Lepisosteus oculatus: one gene and its partners. The protein of the gene in region 2 binds, or shares a complex with, the protein of the main gene of each other region. Links are inferred from orthologs where the notes say so. Each region holds a gene or a part of one and is shown on either strand. Other genes may lie near its edges.

Region 1 (3,751 bases), on a different chromosome or scaffold from region 2:
GGTCTAGGGTCCTGGGGTCCATTCTGAAGCATCGTCTGTGTGGAGTTTGCATGGTTCCCCTTTGGCGTTTTTATCTGGAGCTCCCCCCACACACACACACCTTCCAAAGACACACCAGTTAACATAGCCGGCATCTCTCGGTTGTTGCCTTGTGCAGGTGTGAGCGTGTCGAGCAAAGAGCAGCGTCCCCACAGATCTGCAGTCCCACCTCCAAATGCCTGTTACATTCCCCGAGTGGAACAAAACTCCACACCTTTCATGTACTCAAGCCAAAGCAGTTGTCTCGTTCAAATCGCCCTTAATACGGAATCGGTTAAGAACTGGAAAGAGGAGAAACAAAAAGCTCACGTCTTAAGTATTTACATCATTCTTGCCGCCAGTGAACAGGTGCGTGGAGGAAACTCCCTGCTTGGTATTTTTACTCCCTGAGTGAAGTGAGGCGCTCCTGATTCGACTTGCTGCCCTCCTGGTAGTCACACAGTTAAAACTCTTTGTTTTGCTTCACGTCTCCGAATCGTCTGTGTGTCTAACCAGTGACAGGCTGTTGGCAAATCGTGTACCGATAGTAGCGTTTTGCACATTATCACGTTGAAACCTACTGGGAGATAAAGGTTAGCTTGAAAAATGAAAACAAGTTAAATGAATCGATCCGCTTTTCTTACCCAACGTGTTAGGCATCCGTAAAATCTAAACATAATTTATTTTACAAATAAAATAGTGACTCAAAGACTCAATAAACCGATTGAATCTGTATTAGAACGGTAAATTAAGGAGTCAGGAATGTTTACCTTGTAAGAATTTGATATCATCACAGTTACAACACGCTGTTGCTTTTTATTTTGTTATATAATTTAAGAGTAATTCCTTATTCATTTTAGTAACCCAGTATGAATTTGGACAGGAACAGTTCATAGACAGGTTTTGAGTATGTAATGGTACGAGTTCAAGAGACTGTAGTTCACTACAGAGTGAGGGTTGCGCACAGCCTCACGGTGAGAGAATCTGTAAAGGACTACATTTCCCAGAACCCACTTGCAAAGATTAGTGCGGTCTTCGATTATGCATGTTTGAAGAAGTCTCTACAAAAATAAATGTTGAGAATGCATATTAATTGAGGGAAAGAATTATGAAAGTCCTAAATTTAAATAATCTTAATTTGAAAGAATCTGCTTTGTCCGATGTAAAACGGTAACCTCTAAAGGGGAGTCGAAGGTCATCTTGAAAAAACTTTATTGAGATATACGGCAAACACACATTGGTACTGCCTTCTCGATGTCCTTGTAAATGCGAATGCAGACTACGGTTTTTAAAACACCTGGGCTGCAAATATATTCGTTTATTTAACAATCCGTTTCTGCTCGGTCATTGTTACGTTTGTTTCTACTTCGTTTTTGGCTCATGGCTCCCAGGATTTTCCCATTAATAAAGTAAGTTGATTCCTCCGGCCTCCTTGTGACAGCACTATACAAAGTTCAAGTTTCAATGTATGTCAATTTTTTCTGCTAGTTGCTGTGAAAATAATGTCACGATCCATGTGTAGGCGGTGAAATCTAGTACTACGTAGATGTGAAATAAACTAGCAGTGAAATTCAAGCTCGGCTGTTCTGAACATGACTTGAAAGTGCGTTTTCTTTTAATCGTATCTGTATACAGTCCTTAGTGATAACAAACTGTGCGTTAGCGGTGTAGGTTTAATGCTCAGTTATAGCAGATTTGTTAAACTATTGCTGTGAAGTAGTGATATATAAAGAAATACCAATTTAAATAACTACGCCATGGAGCTGCGTTCCTAACTCCTAAACTGCACACATCTGTGAACACGCCCAAATTACACTTCCAATTAACCCCCCCTCTGAGTGGTGAGGACGCTGGAGAACTAGAAGTCTCCCTAGCTTGGTTGAACCTAGATTTACCATTACAAATTAGGATTGTTTAGCAATCAAGTTCAGCATCATATTGAAATTATGTGCTGGGATAAAGCATATTAGGAAAATCTCACCCAGCCAGTTTTTAAAAGGATTTCAATATCACCATGAGAAACAGACCTGGATGCTTGTTCCAGACTCCCACAGCTCTTTGTGTAATGTGGCACTTTCTGTTGTCAATCTTAAATGCACTTACCCTAAGATTCAATGGTTGTCTTGTTAGTTTTTTGGATAAAAGCAACAGGGTGACACAGTGGTTAGCAGGGCTGCCTCTCAGAGCTGGGGTCCAGGGTTCAATTCCTAGGGTTCTGTCTGTGTGGAGTTTGCATGGTCTCCCTGGGTTTGCATGGGTTTCCTCCCACAGTCCACTCCCACTGGTAGGTTAACTGTCTCCTGGAAAAATTGGTCTTGGAGTGAGTGAGTGCGTGTGTGTTTGTCCTGTGATGGACTGGCATCCTGTCCAGGGTGTACCCTGCCTTGCGCCCAGTGCTTGCTGGGATAGACTCTGGTTCTCTTGAAAACCCTGTACTGGCTAAATCAGTTAGGAAATGGATTGATAAAAGCAACCCGTTGTACGTTCTCATTCAATCCATTTATTAAAAACAAAGGCTTTCATTTAGATGTTGTGTGGTTTGTCTGTGGCATGCAGGCTGGTCACCAAGGTGGGTGTGGCCGGCGGGGCAGTGTACGTGGCCTATGACCAGAGGTTGCTGGGGGACAGTGTCCAGGGCTCAGAGGTGCTGACCAAGGCCAAAGCTGCCATCCCCCCTGCTGTGGACGAGTGGATGAAGTACTTCGGATGGGAGGTGAGGCCAAGATCTTGTGTTTGTGCCGACATACTGGGTGCTTGTGAAGCAGCCAAGCACTGGTGCGGTTTTACTGTGCCAGTGTCGTGCAGTGCTGTATTTTGGCTTTCATGATTTCTTTTAGAGAGATAAGTCCCATCTCCGAACCCTCAGGTGTAGGGCACAGCCCTTGTGTTTCGAAAAACATCTTTCATTCCTACGTAATCAACATAATTATCTGGATAGGAAGTATAATTACTCCGGTTTTGAAGGCCCACTTTTTGGTGGAAAAGTCCCACATCCAGCACAAGAGATCAACTCGGGGACTGTATTAAACATTAACAGAGGTGCAGGAAGTAAACTTCCACCAAAAACCCTGGGATCACAAGACCCCGAATCAAGAACTGACTAAATAAAGTTTGTGATTCGGAGACAAGGTCCTTTCTAAAGGCTGTAACTAGCTTTACTGGTGTTGGTGCTGAGAGGCTGTTGTCGATGCAATGTTTAACCATCATGTTCTCCTCTTCCCTTATTACTGCAGCTTCCTTCTCCTCCCAAAATAGAGTTTTCCGCTTTGGAAACGTGGAATACCGGTAAGAGCTTACGTAGTGCAGGAATGCTACAGCAAACAAACTCTCAGTTTTTCTAGTTTTGTGTGTACTAGCAGGTTCATCCTTGATCTGGAAAGGGGGAGCAGTCCCAGTTTCCCAGACCGGTTATTGAATCTCGGTAACCAAATAAATTCAGTGACAGTATAGCAAAACAAAAATGTACACATTTTGAATTGGGCACAAAAAGTGTGAACTTTGTGAAAGTGCTATAAGTAGCCATAGTGTTGCAAACCCCAGGTCTCGGCACGGGCGAGAGCGAGAGTTCACGAGAATTCTGACACGGGGAGGCCCTTCCTGCTCACTAGTCCCTGTAATGACTGATGTGATTTGTGAGCGAATAACTACAGGTTGTGCAGCAGACATTTCACCCCCAGGCATCTTCCCAACATGAGTTAACGAGTAAGTCTCATTTATCGGCAAAATCGTCTCG
Region 2 (3,751 bases):
CTGTAACCTAGACATACTAAAACGTTGAAATGGAGTGTAATTAAGGCTGTCAAAATCAAGTAAACATGAGATGTGAATTAATGTGCAGACAGATTATTAGTTTACTAGTTTTAAGTTTTGATGGTTCAATTAGTCAGACCAGCATAATTGTCAAAAACGATTTAGTGCCAACTCTGAAACTCTTTGTTTTTGTATATAATTATAATGGTACTATATAGTAGCCAGCAGCCATATCACCCTGCAACTCACAACTGGCAACCCACTGAAGCTAAGCAGGTGTGAGCCTGGTCAGTACCTGGATAGGAGACCTCCTGGGAAAAACTAAGGTTGCTGCTGGAGGAGGTGTTAGTGGGGCCAGCAGGGGGCGCTCACCCTGCAGCTCATGTGGGTCCTAATGCCCCAGTGTAGTGACTGGGACTTATATATATACTGTAAAACAGGCGCCGTCTTTCGGATGAGACGTAAAACCGTGGTCATTAAAAATCCCAGGGTGTTTCTCGAAAAGAGTAGGGGTGTAACCCCGGCGTCCTGGCAACATTTCCCATCAGCCTTTATCAATCATGGCCTCCTGACAATCCCCCTCTATAAATTGGCTTCATTACTCTGCTCTCCTCCCCACTGATTGCTGATGTGTGGTGAGTGTTCTGGCGCACTATGGCTGCCGTCGCATCATCCAGGTGGATGCTGCACATTGGTGGTGGTGGAGGGGAGTCCCCATTACCTGTAAAGCGCTTTGAGTGGAGTGTCCAGAAAAGCGCTATGTAAGTGTAAGCAATTATTATTCATTAATTATATGTAAAACAATTATGTCTATCCTTTATTAAATGTAATTAAAACCACCAGACTTCCAGTGTCATTTAATTCTTGCAATGACACCTTGTTAGTTTATTAAAATGTAGGCCTGTGATGTCCAACAATAATTACAAATGACAAATACTGTTTAGAAACCAGATTGGTTGCATCTCTAATAGCATAATCAGCTGTTGACGGGAGGAAGTATTTCTGAACAAAAACGGTGCATAACTTATCTCTATGTACATAATAATCACTATTAAATCATTTAGAAACGGTTCTAAATATCTCAAAGGCATTCCTTTTTCATTTTTTCCCGAGCCGATTTTGTGTATAGTTATTGTACTTGCTCCCGTTCCCGTTTAAAAGATAACGAATGGAAAGATGTATCCGTTTTTCAAGCCGACGCTACATAAAATGTTCACTGTATGGCTGAGATAATACAGGCTCACAGGGATAATGCACGTTAACAAGCCCCGCCTGAAAGTTGTTGCTTTTACTGAACTACAGTTCCCACTTGAATCCGGTTCCCTTCGGTAGCATTCTGCAATGTGATTGGGCTTCCCATGTACGTCTACCAATTGCATTTCACAATACTGGCATGTTAAAAAAATGACTTTTCATGTGGAGCGAAGGCTGAAAGGTCCATAGATTTTCAAGTGGTTGCAGAGGAATATCAGTGTTTTAATAATCCAAGCAAAATAACCGAAGGTCGTACTGAAGGACAGCATTTTACAATGGGAGGGAGTGAGAGTGTAACTAGAAAGGTGTCTTTTGGTTTGGACGAGGAAGACAGGGTGAGGGTTTTGCACGGAATCAAGGTAAGGAAGGAACAATTGCCAAAAAGCAAACTTATTGGAAAGGTCCTGCACGCTAAGGAGAACGTATTACGTTTATAGCAAATGCAAAAATGGAAACTGAGCTTTATCTGGTTTTTAGTCACCTCTTAAGTCTAGCTCGACAACCTTATACTGGGTACAAACGCCTGGAGATGCAATCCTGTCTTCTAACATCGGATGGAGCAATTTATGTGGGCTAGGGAAGCATCCCATAAGTCATGGCTTTATACAGTTCTCGGCACCAAACCAAAGTTGACCTCTGATAAATGCTTGCAGGTTTGCAAGCTGTCTTGCTTTGTAACAGGCAAATCGGATGCTGACTGCCTCAAATGCTGCCAAATTGCCGAAACTGACAATGCCAATGTTACTGTTAAAGCAAAAACAAACGGTCATCCTGTAGATCAACACGCCAAAACAAAAACAATAGCTGTTTTCTCATACAGGCCCAATTCATTTTTATTTGAAATATAACATTAACTTTCTAAATTACTCACCAAATAAACGTGGTAATTTGTGTTCCAGTTTTGGAGCATGTTTGCCTTTTAATCTCGTATTTCACTGTCTTGAAATGCCTGTAATGCTATGCTTTCATCAAGTGCTCTTCAACTTGTGTAAGCAGTGGTTACTATTCACAATACAGCGATTGCATCGTTTATGATTGCAGGGTGTTGAGGTCCTTGTTTTTTGTGTCATCGAAAAATATGTACCTCTTTAAGCTCAGTGTCTCGAATCTCCAGACGCAGGCATAGGTTTGGAATTAGTGGTGCAGAGTTGCGAATCTCACCTGCTGGTCCTTAAGCACCACTTCCAGCAGCGACCTGATCTGGTGTAGCTGCTTTCTGTTCAAGGAATGTCTGGGCCCAAAGTTGCTTCTCTTCAAAAACGTGTTGCAATAAGGTCCTGAGGTGGCATGATTTTTGAATGTTGTACATTTTTCTGACAGCAGTTAATTTACTTAACACAGCCTTGAGACTTGATTGTTTGTTCAGTTCAGTTTATTGTCATATGCACAAGTGCATGCATATTTGCATGTGTGCTCCATAAGAAAGACATTAAAAGAATCACCAAAAACATAAACACAGAACAGCAGCAACAACAACAAGTTAAATAACATACAAAGCCAGTGGTAGGGGTAGAGTTCTGACAGTTTGTGGGAAGAAACTGTGTGAAAACTGTGGGGGGTTATGTGGAACATTGTTATGTGGAACATTGTCCAGTTAGCCTTTAAAATCGTGAAGTCAGCACTGAAAAGAAGTGCATTACTGTCACTTACACGTGCTGTTTGTCTACATGTATGGGTTCGCTTCCTGGACAAAATGATAACACACTTGTTTTCTCTGGGCAGTTGTCGGAGGATGTCATCAGGAAAATGAAAGAAAAATCAGCCGAATCCAAACCCTCTGCTTCAGACGAGTGGTCGTCCTCTCAGACAGAAAGCAGTAAAGACTCCTCAGGTCTTGTCTTGTTTGTGTGAACTATATTTACAAGTTACTGTTTCATCAATAGGTGTAATAATAGAGATGGTACAAAAAGTTTGAAAAGAAGAATTTCAATAAAAAAAAATAAAATAGCTTTTCAACAATTTTGCTTATTTCTAATTCCATCATACTGATGAGAGTGATTCGGGTGAACTGATACTTTTGCTTAACTGAAGATTAGTGAATGAGGGGCAGATGCTTACCTGTTGATTGAGTTTTCTTTGGAGAAAGATGTTAAGATTACATTAAATGCGAATACATTTAATTAATGTGAAAGCACTTAACAAACAGTGAAACAAAATGTGTTGGTGGTCAAACATTTTAACAACATCACATTAATCTGAAAATGTGAAAGAAAATAATGAAGATGTTTTCTTTTGTTGTTTGTAGGTTCAAAGATGCATTCGGGACACACAGTCACAGTGAAAGAAGAGGAATTATACAGAAGGTGGGTGTTTTCATTGGTTTTAATTGGTTTTAAGCGCTTTGAGAAGCTACCTTTAAAGGTGCTATATAAAATAAAGTTTATTATCATTATTATTATTTTTATTATTAGGGCCGTGCGGGTTTTTTATAAGCTATTCCGATCTAACATTGACCGTACTGTATTTTAAAAAGGTGGAGTTCGTCTGACACCCCGTG
Region 3 (3,751 bases), on a different chromosome or scaffold from region 2:
GACACGTCCTATCTGGGTATATCATGTCCTGATATGAGACCTTTGTTGCTACAGCGGTGCCAGGGTGGCATGGAAGCAAGGCGCCAGTCGTGATATACACTGCCGCGATATACCTGAGATATACGTTGGGTCCCTATCATGCCATGCTGCGGAAGTCTTGTCGCGATAGTATGCCGCAGTTATGCGTTTGGCAACAGCGGAAAAAAGGAAAACGTGCCTTAGAAAATAAAAAACCATAGATCTTACAATCACGGTGATTTTACATATATTACAACTACAGGTTTATGTCATAGATGGTTAACTTGTTGGTATGCGTCATGTGTTAGTATTATTCACATCTAAGGAGGCTCATATGCTTATGGATATTGATTGACTTTATAATGTTACGGATACGAGCTAAACTGTAACAGAGCGCTTGAACTCGTCAGACGGGGTCACTGGAGGTCAAAGTCACCGTGCATGGTCACGTGATCACCGGAAAAACAAGGCTCTATATCTCGGGAACGAAAGCAGCACAAACGCTACTGTCAAAGGCACAAACCGGCACAAACGTAGCACTAACGAATGAGGTGGGTTTCATCATTTGTGCTGTCTGTAGGGGGGCCAACTTTACGGAGCTAGCAAATCGCCCTAAATCACCTGATTTTTTAAACAAGATTAAGAAGACTTCTAAGTTATTGACTAACAAACTAAAATATTTAATTAAAGCAACTTTACTCCTTGAGGGTTGATGGGTATCCTGAGTTGTATCTTAAATAATCTCTAAACTACTTAATTTAACAAATCGCCTGTTTAATTGGCCGCAGTTTAATAGAACTGGATATTTAAAAGTCGTGATGCAATGTCTATTATATTTATTATACTGGGGCTCTTCAAGGCTGGACACCCCTGGTTAAAGGAATACTGGAATGTGTGAGATGTTAATTTAATTTGATCTATGTAGTCCATTTGGTAGTTAGTAGCAAATTGATCTAAAGATCTCATCCAGCTGTGTCTTGAGAGAAGCCATGGTATCAGCTTCATCAACGTGATTGGGCAGCTTGTTCCACTCTCCTACCACCCTTTGTGCAAAGAGATGCCTCTGTGTCCATCTGTCCCCTCTGGTTCGTGATTCACTGTTCATTCACGAAGCTGGCTCGGTTTTTTTAAAGCAACAGCACCTCAGGAGAGAAGTTATTTACCTTTTCCAATTAAGTCAATAATGAGCGCAATCTGTTCGTAATAGCTCAGCTGGAGTAAAAAGCTGTAGACACACTGGGTTTCCAGGAAAACGTTTGGGAACCCTTGCTTTAAAATACCCGTTTCAATCGTTATTTACGATTAAAACTGGAAATCGATACACTGATTCTGTGCAGCACTAATAATATCTATTACATCGTCAATCAAAACAACCTTGGTTAAATTACATTAGCTGTCATTTTGGACTATGTGCACGGTCGTTATTCGAGCGGAGGCGGAGAATAGTTTTTTTTTTAAGCCAGTTAAAATAACAAGGCGAATGCTTTATTTCTGATCTAAGCTCTTCATCGGCGAAGGAGTTCGAGCGAATACAGTCTCTCGCAAAACGCATTTTGAACGAAGGAGGGTTTAAAACCTTTTTGTCCTTCGTGACGAGTTGTAGCGGTGGGCGGAGTGACATGGCAGCCAAGGTGAGAGGGGAGCTTTTCCCCCGATATATTTGCAACAGGAGCTTTCATTCACTTATTTGCCCACCAACCCCTTTTTATAAGAAAGAACGGTTAAGATCTTATTTTATGTTAAAGTATTATTATATGTTTGGGTTTATTTAATAGCATTTAAATCGCTTTCGAGAGACTCATTACTGTCAGCTACTGTTCTGTCATTTCGCCCGAGTAGATTTGGAGAAAAAATTATTGATAGTTAAAAACTTAAATGAGAAACTTTTTTTTTCTTTTATTGTAAGGAAACAGTGTGATTCTTTTGTGACGCAGCTGGAGATTGCCGGCATTTCACTTAGTCTAAAGTGTGCCAAGTAATCATCAGTCTTGTTAAACTCTAATCTGATTGACGTACTACATGCATTTTTTTCTAAATATGTAGGAAGCTATATGGTATATAAACATTAAAATCGCATGACAGTTTTTATCCGTATTGTTGTATTTCAATTATTTTGTCAGTTATAAAAACATTTAGACCCACGTGAATGCAGCACATCAATCTGAACCTCTTTCGCCTTGCAAAAAACATGTTTTTGCTATGTTAAAACTGCATAGTGGAGACTTTAAAATTATGATTATCAAAAACTAAAGTATTATGAAGCATGTTTGCGCTAGAAAGTGATATTAATGCTTGATCACCCATCAGATTGTGAGTCACATGTTCGGCAGTTATTGCTGAGTGTGTCGTGTTCAGTAAGACTATCTCAGACAGGACACGTAAGAACAGTAATAAAGTAGCTAAACTGCGTTTGATTACTACAACTAATCTGTTGAATTATACTGTCATTTGGATGAGACGCACTTCTGCGAGAACGGCAGGTGGCAGCAAACTTGAAAATTTCAGTTGATAACGTAGCTACAGCGTTCTGTGGGTATTTAATAAAAATAGTTCAGGTGCGTAGCTGCGTTAGTATGCGTAGTCTGCGACTAGGTTTATTTCATGCTGAAAAGAGAAGAGAGAAAACAACGTTTCGGCGTGTCACACGCCTGAAGAAGGCTTCACAGCCGAAACGTTGTGTTTCTCTCTTCTCTTTTCAGCATGGAATAAACCTGTTACTTGTTCATTTAATAAAAATGTTGCTTAATCCCTTGTTGCAGCAAGATGCGTTCAAAGCGATCGTGCTCTTGTGTCCAGTTCTCGTCATTATCCCAGAGGTCTTTGAACACGAGAACGTTTGCAAAATCAAGGTGCCCCGCGTAACTGCTGTGCATAAAAATCTCTGTCATATAATTGCCCTCCCCCGCCTCCACACACCACAGTTTTCTGCAGCGCTGCGCTAGTTAACCTACTGCCTGCGGGGGGCGCTGCTCTGCTCCGCAGGTGCTGGCGCTGGCGGCGGTTCCGGGGGCGCTGGGGCTCGCGGCCCTGCGGGTGCGCGCGGCGGGGGACCCGCTGGAGAAGGAGAGGCTCGTGTCCCCGAAGCAGGTACCCTCATTGTGTGCTCAGGGCACGCTCTCCCCTGCTCCTGGGAACGGCTCTTCATTCCGCCTTCGATCTCTTTAGTTTCTGGATCGGAAGTGGACTTAATCGGTCTTAAGTGCTGCTGTTTCCCAGTATTTAGCCATCAGGTGTTAAACCCGGAGTCCTCTTCAGTATTGCTGACATCAGCCCCTAGAGCCACTTTGTCCAGTAAGAGTTTGTGTGGGCAGCCGGAGCCTATCCCAGCAAGCAACAGGTGCAAGGCAGGCGACGCCCTGGGCAGGCTGCCAGTCCATCACAGGGCAGACACTCACGCCAGGGCCAGTTTTCCCAAAAGCGTATAAACATACCAGTATGTTTTTGGACTGTGGGAGGAAGCCCATGGGAACACAGGGAGAATATACTCACTCCACACAGATGGGAGTCTGGGAATTGAACCCAGGACCCCAGCGCTGCGCGGCAGCAACGCTAATGACTGCGCCTCTGTGCCGGTCCTGCGGTCTCCCAGATTACATGAGGAATGTCCTCCATCAGGAAAGGCCTGGACGCCGTGTTAATACAGACCACGTAAGTGAACAGCTGGTTCAGATCGCATCATCCAGTCCAGACTGAATACCGGTGATCTAGCTGCTGCCTGAGAGTGAAATTGGCC

The links.
Region 1: chchd6a (region 2) and micos13 share a complex: the UniProt entries of both Homo sapiens proteins name them as parts of the mitochondrial contact site and cristae organizing system (MICOS) complex. The link is inferred for Lepisosteus oculatus from reciprocal best matches to the Homo sapiens genes CHCHD6 and MICOS13.
Region 3: chchd6a (region 2) and apool share a complex: the UniProt entries of both Homo sapiens proteins name them as parts of the mitochondrial contact site and cristae organizing system (MICOS) complex. The link is inferred for Lepisosteus oculatus from reciprocal best matches to the Homo sapiens genes CHCHD6 and APOOL.

What each region holds. Positions count from the first base shown.
Region 1 is NC_090724.1:7,891,014-7,894,764, reverse strand, and holds the start of micos13 (MICOS complex subunit MIC13), read left to right. Parts: upstream 1-1,222; 5' UTR 1,223-1,398; coding exon 1,399-1,427; intron 1,428-2,574; coding exon 2,575-2,731; intron 2,732-3,251; coding exon 3,252-3,303; intron 3,304-3,751. UniProt on the Homo sapiens protein: Component of the MICOS complex, a large protein complex of the mitochondrial inner membrane that plays crucial roles in the maintenance of crista junctions, inner membrane architecture, and formation of contact sites to the outer membrane.
Region 2 is NC_090699.1:61,089,219-61,092,969, reverse strand, and holds the start of chchd6a (MICOS complex subunit mic25a), read left to right. Parts: upstream 1-1,385; 5' UTR 1,386-1,529; coding exon 1,530-1,613; intron 1,614-2,976; coding exon 2,977-3,085; intron 3,086-3,499; coding exon 3,500-3,557; intron 3,558-3,751. UniProt on the Homo sapiens protein: Component of the MICOS complex, a large protein complex of the mitochondrial inner membrane that plays crucial roles in the maintenance of crista junctions, inner membrane architecture, and formation of contact sites to the outer membrane.
Region 3 is NC_090703.1:46,869,515-46,873,265, reverse strand, and holds the start of apool (MICOS complex subunit MIC27), read left to right. Parts: upstream 1-1,569; 5' UTR 1,570-1,637; coding exon 1,638-1,649; intron 1,650-3,000; coding exon 3,001-3,105; intron 3,106-3,751. UniProt on the Homo sapiens protein: Component of the MICOS complex, a large protein complex of the mitochondrial inner membrane that plays crucial roles in the maintenance of crista junctions, inner membrane architecture, and formation of contact sites to the outer membrane.